3 linked regions of the Saccharomyces cerevisiae S288C genome follow. Changing the gene in region 1 together with any one later gene gives a genetic interaction. Each region holds a gene or a part of one and is shown in the gene's direction. Other genes may lie near its edges.

What was found. A genetic interaction does not mean that the proteins touch.
Region 2: mutations in HPT1 (region 1) and CEM1 together harm fitness more than expected from each alone (negative genetic interaction), as found in Saccharomyces cerevisiae (2 studies listed by BioGRID).
Region 3: mutations in HPT1 (region 1) and ADE17 together harm fitness more than expected from each alone (negative genetic interaction), as found in Saccharomyces cerevisiae (3 studies listed by BioGRID).

What each region holds. Positions count from the first base shown.
Region 1 is NC_001136.10:1,268,407-1,271,425, forward strand, and holds HPT1 (hypoxanthine phosphoribosyltransferase), read left to right. Parts: upstream 1-1,661; coding exon 1,662-2,327; downstream 2,328-3,019. Other genes in the region: UTP5 (Utp5p), read left to right, coding at 1-996; URH1 (trifunctional uridine nucleosidase/nicotinamide riboside hydrolase/nicotinic acid riboside hydrolase), read left to right, coding at 2,657-3,019. UniProt on the Saccharomyces cerevisiae protein: Converts guanine to guanosine monophosphate, and hypoxanthine to inosine monophosphate. Transfers the 5-phosphoribosyl group from 5-phosphoribosylpyrophosphate onto the purine.
Region 2 is NC_001137.3:277,725-281,286, reverse strand, and holds CEM1 (fatty acid synthase CEM1), read left to right. Parts: upstream 1-1,660; coding exon 1,661-2,989; downstream 2,990-3,562. Other genes in the region: glycerol-1-phosphatase GPP2, read left to right, coding at 605-1,357; FCY22 (purine-cytosine permease), read right to left, coding at 3,123-3,562. UniProt on the Saccharomyces cerevisiae protein: Possibly involved in the synthesis of a specialized molecule, probably related to a fatty acid, which is essential for mitochondrial respiration. Is essential for oxygen uptake and the presence of cytochromes A and B.
Region 3 is NC_001145.3:506,929-511,391, reverse strand, and holds ADE17 (bifunctional phosphoribosylaminoimidazolecarboxamide formyltransferase/IMP cyclohydrolase ADE17), read left to right. Parts: upstream 1-2,111; coding exon 2,112-3,890; downstream 3,891-4,463. Other genes in the region: NCW1 (Ncw1p), read right to left, coding at 1-77; YMR122C (uncharacterized protein), read left to right, coding at 317-691; 60S ribosomal protein eL15 RPL15B, read left to right, coding at 1,044-1,658; putative ubiquitin-protein ligase ASI1, read right to left, coding at 4,185-4,463. UniProt on the Saccharomyces cerevisiae protein: Bifunctional enzyme that catalyzes the last two steps of purine biosynthesis.

The sequences.
Region 1 (3,019 bases):
TACTTCAAGAACTTGCAGTGGAGAGAAATCCCTAATGAATATACCGTCGAAATTTCCCTAAATTGGAATAATAAAAATAAGTCCGCCGATCGCGATCTACACGGTAAAGATCTTGCCTCAGCCACCAACTACGTGGAAGGTAATGCAAGAGTCACCTCTGGAGATAACTTCAAGCATGTTGATGACGCTATAAAGAGCTGGGAAAGAGAATTGACTTCTTTGGAACAAGAACAGGCCAAGCCCCCACAGGCCAATGAACTATTAACAGAAACATTTGGTGATAAGCTAGAATCAAGCACCGTCGCAAGGATTAGTGGGAAAAAAACAAATTTAAAAGGTTCCAATCTCAAGACTGCTACGACAACCGGGACGGTAACAGTAATTCTGTCGCAAGCACTACAATCAAATGATCATTCACTGTTGGAAACAGTGCTCAATAATCGTGACGAGAGGGTCATTAGGGATACTATCTTCCGTCTGAAACCAGCACTGGCTGTCATTCTCTTAGAAAGGTTGGCAGAGAGGATTGCAAGACAAACCCACCGTCAAGGCCCATTGAATGTTTGGGTAAAATGGTGTTTAATCATACACGGTGGCTATTTGGTTTCTATTCCAAATTTGATGTCTACTCTATCGTCGTTACATTCCACCTTGAAAAGGCGTTCCGACTTATTACCAAGGCTACTAGCACTGGATGCAAGGTTAGACTGTACTATAAATAAATTCAAAACTTTGAACTATGAAGCAGGCGACATCCACTCATCCGAACCAGTTGTCGAAGAGGACGAAGACGACGTTGAATATAACGAAGAACTCGATGATGCCGGCCTTATAGAGGACGGTGAAGAATCTTATGGCAGTGAAGAAGAAGAAGAAGGTGATAGTGACAACGAAGAGGAACAGAAGCATACCTCATCTAAGCAAGATGGCCGTTTAGAAACGGAGCAGAGCGACGGCGAGGAGGAAGCCGGATATAGTGACGTTGAGATGGAATAGAGGATATCATGCATAAAATGCTTTCACGCATCAGAATACAAAAATAATCTCTAGGCACATAAATACTTATATAGAGTTCACCACATAATGTAAGAAAAGAAAAAAGAAAAAAAAAGATCACGAAAGTATCCCACGCGAAGAAGATCTGTCAAAAGACCCCCACAATCGTTTATCCTTTTTGAACTGCATCTGGCATCGTTAACAGTAAGGCCATCTGGAACATCAAGCAAGCACTCCACTTTTACGTCACAACCATAGTTGGTTAACTAAGAAAAGACAGTACATATTTCCCTTCCGAGTCACTTATTTTTTTTTTCTTCTGAAAAAATTAATTAGATTAATTTCAATTAATATCATTTCCGCTTATCTGACTTCTTTCATTTTTTTTCTCTATATTTCGCGTTTACTAGGAAAGAAAAGGAAAAAAAATTTTTCCCCCTCCATCTGTCCCAAATCGGGTAGCGATGAGCTGCTATAGAATTTTCTATTTAAACATGTTTGATAAGCCCAATTTCCGTTAGATTTTGTTCCCCCTTCGCAGTTTGGTTTGCCGTAACTTTTTTATTTTAGTCTCCATCTAGCTGGAGTAATACGATGTAGTGCCTTGTAATCTTTCTTATTTTTATATTACCGTTCGTGTTCATTATATCCATTACGTTCCCATAATGTCGGCAAACGATAAGCAATACATCTCGTACAACAACGTACATCAACTATGTCAAGTATCCGCTGAGAGAATTAAGAATTTCAAGCCGGACTTAATCATTGCCATTGGTGGTGGTGGTTTCATTCCTGCTAGGATCCTACGTACGTTCCTAAAGGAGCCCGGCGTGCCAACCATCAGAATTTTTGCTATTATTTTGTCTTTGTACGAAGATTTGAACAGTGTAGGCTCAGAAGTTGAGGAAGTTGGTGTTAAGGTTAGCAGAACACAATGGATTGATTACGAGCAATGTAAATTAGATCTAGTCGGCAAGAACGTTCTTATCGTTGACGAAGTCGATGACACCCGTACCACACTTCATTACGCTTTGAGTGAATTGGAAAAGGATGCAGCTGAACAGGCAAAGGCTAAAGGTATCGATACTGAAAAGTCTCCAGAGATGAAAACAAACTTCGGGATTTTTGTTCTACACGATAAGCAAAAACCAAAGAAAGCAGATTTGCCTGCCGAAATGTTGAATGACAAGAACCGTTATTTTGCAGCTAAAACTGTTCCAGACAAGTGGTATGCATATCCATGGGAATCTACTGACATTGTTTTCCATACTAGAATGGCTATTGAACAGGGCAATGACATCTTTATTCCTGAGCAGGAACACAAGCAATGATAGACATATCATATCCTTCAGTAACTTGAATCATACAGCAGAATTTGTACAATAGACAACGCATATAACTGCGACCATATGTATACGTATAACTAATTATTATCTCAAAGTTTATTCCCTTAGCCTCACCGGTAACCTGTGAGGCGCGATTACGTTTTCCCTCTGTTCACCACCACGTAACGCGATATTTGACACATACGTGACAACTACTTTTGATGGAATCTGCTGATTTTTTTACCTCACGAAACTTATTAAAACAGATAATTTCCCTCATCTGCAAGGTTGGGGAAGGGTTGGACAGCAATAACCAGCGACTGTTTGAAGAAAAGATGACTGTTAGTAAAATACCCATATGGCTAGATTGTGATCCTGGTCATGATGATGCCATAGCCATTTTATTAGGCTGTTTCCATCCAGCTTTCAATCTTCTAGGAATCAGCACGTGTTTTGGTAACGCACCGCCAGAGAATACTGACTACAACGCCCGTTCTCTTTTGACTGCGATGGGCAAAGCACAAGCGATTCCAGTTTATAAAGGCGCACAGAGACCTTGGAAAAGGGAACCTCATTATGCTCCTGACATTCATGGTATATCAGGTTTAGACGGCACTTCTTTGCTACCTAAGCCAACATTTGAGGCAAGAACTGATAAAACGTATATTGAGGCCATTGAAGAGGCGATTCTAGCTAAC
Region 2 (3,562 bases), on another chromosome or scaffold:
GTCTAAATTCCTATGCCTCCTTCGAAAATGGTCAATGTTATACCCTCTCCCATTAGATATTACCGTAGCGTACGTATTTGGCCCTGTCCTTTGGGGTTTGGCCTTCTCAAGTATTTTGGCACCTCGCCCTGAACGAAAAGCTGGCACTTTGTCCCCAGCCAAACTCTTCTCTCTAATATCGTCTTTAACGACAAGGTAAAAAGATTTCTGCAGTGTTCCGTCTGCGTCATCATCTGTGCCCCACAATCCGCGGCGTTTCCGTGTAAGCCGTCAAGTGAGGACTTTTCGGATGCTGAAAGAAAGTACGCTCGGAAAAACTACATAGCTGCCCCCCTAAACGGGCCTCCCACGTGACGTAAAGTAGGAATAATAAGAAGCCAAGTCGTTTCTTTTTATTCTAAATAAGTTCGTTTCTTTTGATGTTGTCATTTTCAGAAATATATATATATGCGCTTAAATACACAAGCTAAAACAACATAGTTAGGATTGCCAAAGGTTTCTTTTCTACTCAATTTGGTCTAACTCTTTTCATATTAATAGCGCCAACCAGCTAGTGTTTACCAGATCAGTGGAAAAACATAAAACAATAAAAACAATATTCGGAATGGGATTGACTACTAAACCTCTATCTTTGAAAGTTAACGCCGCTTTGTTCGACGTCGACGGTACCATTATCATCTCTCAACCAGCCATTGCTGCATTCTGGAGGGATTTCGGTAAGGACAAACCTTATTTCGATGCTGAACACGTTATCCAAGTCTCGCATGGTTGGAGAACGTTTGATGCCATTGCTAAGTTCGCTCCAGACTTTGCCAATGAAGAGTATGTTAACAAATTAGAAGCTGAAATTCCGGTCAAGTACGGTGAAAAATCCATTGAAGTCCCAGGTGCAGTTAAGCTGTGCAACGCTTTGAACGCTCTACCAAAAGAGAAATGGGCTGTGGCAACTTCCGGTACCCGTGATATGGCACAAAAATGGTTCGAGCATCTGGGAATCAGGAGACCAAAGTACTTCATTACCGCTAATGATGTCAAACAGGGTAAGCCTCATCCAGAACCATATCTGAAGGGCAGGAATGGCTTAGGATATCCGATCAATGAGCAAGACCCTTCCAAATCTAAGGTAGTAGTATTTGAAGACGCTCCAGCAGGTATTGCCGCCGGAAAAGCCGCCGGTTGTAAGATCATTGGTATTGCCACTACTTTCGACTTGGACTTCCTAAAGGAAAAAGGCTGTGACATCATTGTCAAAAACCACGAATCCATCAGAGTTGGCGGCTACAATGCCGAAACAGACGAAGTTGAATTCATTTTTGACGACTACTTATATGCTAAGGACGATCTGTTGAAATGGTAATCCTCTAAAATCGAACATATTTGAGTAATAATTCTCAGATACAGTCCTATTCTATATTCGCCACAAAACAAGTAATGATGCTAAAAAACGACACATTTATAAAATCACATCTTATTGATTAAATAAATACGTAGATAGATTTTTTTTTTTAAAACATATAGTGTGCTATTATTTCTGACTCTGTCTCATCTCAGAAAAATAAATGATAAAAAAGGAAGTAAAATCCTTAAACGTTATCAGGTTATTAGCAACTTGAAAGTGACAGGAGCCACAACGGATTAAAATTTAATTTCTAGTAAAGAAATGTCAAGAAGAGTGGTTATCACAGGATTGGGCTGTGTAACGCCGTTGGGAAGATCATTAAGTGAGTCATGGGGGAATCTGCTCTCTTCCAAAAATGGACTCACACCAATCACATCTTTGCCCAACTATAATGAGGACTACAAACTCAGAGAAAAAAGTATCCCATCAACGATAACAGTGGGGAAGATTCCAGAGAATTTTCAAAACGAAAATTCAGCCATCAATAAACTGCTGTTCACTAGCCAGGATGAGAGAAGAACCTCAAGCTTTATCAAGCTAGCACTACGTACAACTTATGAAGCGCTTCACAATGCTGGTCTCTTGAACCCAAATGATATAACCATCAATACATCTCTGTGCAATCTGGATCACTTTGGTTGCCTGATAGGTTCTGGTATAGGATCCATTCAAGACATATACCAAACTTCTCTACAATTCCATAACGACAATAAAAGAATAAATCCATATTTCGTCCCTAAAATCCTTACAAATATGGCAGCTGGTAATGTTTCCATCAAGTTTAACCTTAGAGGATTATCCCATAGTGTTTCCACAGCATGCGCAACAGGTAATAACTCCATTGGCGATGCATTCAATTTTATTCGGTTAGGCATGCAAGACATCTGTGTCGCCGGTGCAAGTGAAACGAGTTTGCATCCGTTAAGTTTAGCAGGTTTCATCAGAGCAAAGTCGATTACTACAAACGGGATCTCTAGACCCTTTGATACACAACGTTCTGGATTCGTACTTGGTGAAGGATGCGGAATGATTGTCATGGAATCGCTAGAACATGCTCAAAAGAGAAATGCAAACATAATTTCTGAGCTCGTGGGCTATGGTTTAAGCAGTGATGCCTGCCATATTACCTCCCCTCCTGCTGATGGAAATGGTGCCAAAAGAGCAATAGAGATGGCTCTAAAAATGGCTAGATTAGAACCAACTGATGTTGACTACGTCAATGCACATGCTACATCAACTTTACTAGGCGATAAAGCAGAGTGTCTGGCAGTAGCCTCAGCACTCTTACCAGGAAGATCCAAAAGCAAGCCACTGTACATATCCAGTAACAAAGGTGCAATTGGCCATCTTTTAGGTGCAGCTGGCGCCGTAGAAAGTATATTTACAATTTGTTCCTTGAAGGATGATAAGATGCCGCATACCTTAAACCTGGACAATGTTCTGACTCTAGAAAATAACGAGGCCGATAAGCTACATTTCATAAGAGACAAACCTATTGTGGGAGCTAATCCGAAGTACGCATTATGCAACAGCTTCGGATTTGGAGGAGTTAACACATCTCTTCTCTTCAAGAAATGGGAAGGGAGTTAATATTATTAAACTTATATATATATCCCATTATAATCGTTTTTGAATTATATGCTATCTATTCGAATGTCGAGATTTATCCATTAAAACCAATCATTTCAATGATTAGCAAAAATATTAATCAATTAACATTTAGTCATCGACCGAAATATTTGAGTTCTAAAGGTCTTACAATGTTATAGATGATGAACGCCCAACTTCCGCCTAACTCGAACCCAATGTCACCGCCGTACTCTCCGATCAAACGACTGATCTCACCAACCCAATAAGTTTGGCACATACCCAACGCTACTCCAAAGGCACCAGCAATTAAGGCAGCAGTACCTGCGATACCGATAGGTAGATGCTCCCAATTATCCCAATCATCAATATTGTAAGCACTGAAGGAACGCCTATAAATAAAATGCTCTGAACATGCAATGGCAATATAAATAGCCAAATAATAACCAATGGAATCCATAAAATTCTCCATAAAGCCGTCAAAGTAATAGGTAGCAGGGATGGAAATACCTAAAGTGGCAGCATTACCTGCCATTGTCCAGACTACTCTTGGTATTTTAGCCAAAGGTGCCCACA
Region 3 (4,463 bases), on another chromosome or scaffold:
ACATTGTTGGAAACTAAGGCACTGTTAGTTTTGATGGAGGAGGAAGCGGAAGCGGAAGTGGAAGTACTGCTGGCCATTTTTATTCAGGTTATTTGCGATTAGGTTGGGGTTTGTGTTTGATGGAGACCTCAGTAATTAACAGTACATTCTGAGAGCGGCAAACAGAATTCTGCCTTAAATTCAGATCGTTTATATACTTTTTTTTCACTTTTTACGCTCGAGACACCATAACCCAAAAATAGATCAAACTAGCCATTGTATTTTTCACCAATATGGCAATGTGATTTCCGCATTAGGCAATACTGTGAAAGACTCTATGCTACGTCAGTTCGGAGGCGTGTTTCGCAATCTTCGCGTTCCAGAACGCACCAACGCGTTGTTATTTGCGCAGCACAAGGGGGACGAGAGACATTCTGGCCAACGTGCATTCGACGGAAGTAAATTTCGGCTGGAGGCTAAGCGCTGCTTTACTGCAATTTGCATCATTACGGTGGCTCGCAGGGATAGATTGGGCGTACTGGTTTGTGGCAAAAACACCGCCTCCACGCTACCTTATTTGCCAGCCAACCGCATATTCAGGTTGCCAAAGGTACAGATCAGGAAAATGTTTCCCATTGGATGCGCAACTTTCCTTAGTAGGGAATATATAATCACTGCATTGCTGGTTTCGTACTGCCATCTTTGCGTTTAAAGTATAACCAAATTAATAAAGCGACTACGCCGCTATCCAAAACAGGCTCCTCCAGCTCCTTTAAGGAAACAAACGTCTTTTTTCTTTACTCTTATTTTTTGCACCGATTGCTAGAATACTTCTCCAATCTCTTCAAATGATGATACAAACATGTAGTCAGTAGAGATGTATCTGTCTTGATGCTCCATATGTCGTTACCCGGAAAACATCTTTCTTGTTCCTTTCGATACTTTTCCACGTTTTCAATTAACCGGAGCCATTGATAATTTCATTCACTCTTGAGAAGTTAGCGGCAATAGTAATCGGCGAAAGCTACCGTAAAGACAGTCACAAATTACCTACCACACAAGCAATGGGAGCCTACAAATATTTAGAAGAATTAGAAAGAAAGAAGCAATCTGATGTTTTGAGATTCTTGCAAAGAGTCAGGGTCTGGGAATACAGACAAAAAAATGTCATTCACAGAGCCGCTAGACCAACTAGACCAGACAAGGCTAGGAGACTAGGCTACAAAGCCAAGCAAGGTTTCGTTATCTACCGTGTCAGGGTTAGACGCGGTAACAGAAAGAGACCTGTTCCAAAGGGTGCTACTTACGGTAAGCCAACTAACCAAGGTGTCAATGAATTGAAATACCAAAGATCCTTGAGAGCTACCGCTGAAGAAAGAGTTGGCCGTCGTGCTGCTAACTTGAGAGTCTTGAACTCCTACTGGGTCAACCAAGACTCTACTTACAAGTACTTCGAAGTTATATTGGTTGATCCTCAACACAAGGCTATCAGAAGAGATGCTCGGTACAACTGGATCTGCAATCCCGTCCATAAGCATCGTGAAGCTAGAGGCTTGACTGCCACCGGTAAGAAATCCAGGGGTATCAACAAGGGACACAAATTCAACAACACCAAGGCCGGCAGAAGAAAGACCTGGAAAAGACAAAATACTCTGTCGTTATGGAGGTATAGAAAATGAAATAGTTAGAACCGTATATAGATCAATAATAATGCACTATGAACATTTTTTCAACCTGATTACTTCATCGTTCCTTTTCTTCGACTTATTTTTTTTTTATTATTCTTCGCTCTTTGGCAGCATACGCAATTTGAATTTGCAGTTTTTGACTCTTTTTTCCTTAGCGGAACGAACAATATTAATCATGCCAACTAAGTCATTGCAGAAGTCAACTTATCATTTATAAAGAAGATCCTACCCTACAATGTGTGTACCCTGATGTGCCCAGAAATGAATTGACTCCTCTCATAACTTGTTAATATTCGGATGTGCATATCACGTTCGGATCTATGTATATAAATGTACGCTCGTTTTAACCTTTAGTGTAGTACCTAAAATCTTTCTTACCAGCAACTAATAGCCCTTGAAGTAGTTTTGCTAGCTTGGACATCAAAGCACATATCACCATCAAATATGGCCAATTACACAAAAACCGCAATCCTATCCGTCTATGACAAGACAGGTCTACTTGATTTAGCCAGAGGCCTCATCGAGAAGAACGTTCGTATTCTCGCCTCCGGTGGTACTGCTCGTATGATTCGTGACGCTGGTTTTCCAATCGAAGACGTTTCTGCTATCACACATGCCCCAGAAATGTTGGGAGGTAGAGTGAAAACTTTACATCCTGCCGTTCATGGTGGTATCCTTGCTAGGGACATCGATAGCGATGAGAAAGACTTGAAGGAACAGCACATTGAAAAAGTCGATTATGTCGTTTGTAACCTATACCCATTCAAAGAAACTGTTGCTAAGGTGGGTGTGACTATTCCAGAAGCAGTAGAAGAAATTGATATTGGTGGTGTTACTCTATTAAGAGCAGCTGCTAAGAACCATGCTAGAGTCACTATTTTATCTGATCCAAAGGACTACTCCGAATTTTTAAGTGAATTATCCAGTAATGGTGAAATCTCTCAAGATTTGAGAAACAGATTGGCATTAAAGGCTTTCGAACACACTGCCGATTATGATGCTGCAATTTCAGATTTCTTCAGGAAACAATACTCTGAAGGTCAAGCTCAAATTACTCTACGTTATGGTGCCAATCCACACCAAAAGCCGGCTCAAGCTTACGTCAGTCAACAAGACAGTTTACCTTTCAAAGTCCTATGTGGTTCACCAGGTTACATTAATTTGTTGGATGCTCTAAATTCCTGGCCCCTGGTTAAGGAATTATCCGCCTCGTTGAATTTACCAGCAGCAGCATCGTTCAAGCATGTATCACCAGCTGGTGCCGCTGTGGGTATCCCATTGTCTGATGTTGAAAAGCAAGTTTATTTTGTTGCCGACATTGAAAACTTATCTCCCCTGGCATGTGCCTATGCTAGGGCCCGTGGTGCTGATAGAATGTCTTCCTTTGGTGATTGGATTGCTCTTTCCAACATAGTTGATGTTCCAACAGCTAAGATCATATCTAGAGAAGTTTCTGATGGTGTTATTGCCCCAGGTTATGAGCCTGAGGCGTTGGCCATTCTATCCAAGAAGAAGGGAGGTAAGTACTGCATATTACAAATTGATCCAAACTATGTTCCAGAAGCTGTCGAAAGAAGACAAGTATACGGTGTGACTTTGGAACAAAAGAGAAACGATGCCATAATCAATCAATCAACTTTCAAAGAAATTGTTTCTCAAAATAAAAATCTCACTGAACAAGCCATAATTGATTTAACGGTTGCCACCATTGCTATTAAATATACTCAATCTAATTCCGTATGTTATGCTAGAAATGGTATGGTTGTCGGATTGGGTGCAGGTCAACAATCTAGAATCCATTGTACAAGATTAGCTGGTGATAAGGCTGATAATTGGTGGTTCAGACAACACCCTAGAGTTTTGGAGATTAAATGGGCTAAAGGCGTCAAGAGACCAGAAAAATCTAATGCTATCGATTTATTCGTAACCGGCCAAATTCCAACAGAAGAACCAGAATTGTCTGAATACCAATCGAAGTTCGAGGAGATTCCAAAACCATTTACTCCAGAAGAAAGAAAGGAATGGTTGAGTAAATTAACCAACGTTTCTTTGTCATCGGATGCATTTTTCCCATTCCCAGACAATGTTTACAGAGCAGTTAAATCCGGTGTCAAATACATTGCCGCTCCATCTGGTTCTGTCATGGACAAGGTTGTATTTTCAGCTGCCGATTCATTCGATTTGGTTTACGTAGAGAACCCAATCCGTTTGTTCCACCATTAGATGGCATGAGTTCAGAGTCAATATGCCATAAATACAGAAATGACGGCAAATCGATGTATAGTTTATTCTTTCCTCCTCTAATGATATAATCGCCACTGACACTTTTATATATATACTAATGATACGATATGTTATAAGTACAATTTTAATTCGAACATTTCCCAAAGAAAAAAAACTTGATTTATTATTATGATGTTTATATGTGCAACACAGAAAGCTCTAGCTATAGTAATTAATGCTAGAGCTCCCAAACGAAAAACCTCTTTTAGATACCATGCAAAAGTTCTTAAACTATTATTTACTATCTGAAACAGGATGAACCTTACAGTACCCATGAACTTTACTCCTACAACATACGCAAGTGCTGAACCCACGTAAACCCAAAGAAATTCTGCAATCCTCGCAAATGGCAAAACATCGGCAGGGCCATAATACTGTATTTCTTTCATTGACTTTGCATACCGCGCAAGATAGATCAAAATCACTTTCTGTACCAAAAGTCTCATCTACTTCACTTAACTTTGTATCTAAGATAGACGCCCTTGTCAAAGTTTTATCTGACAGTAATTTTTG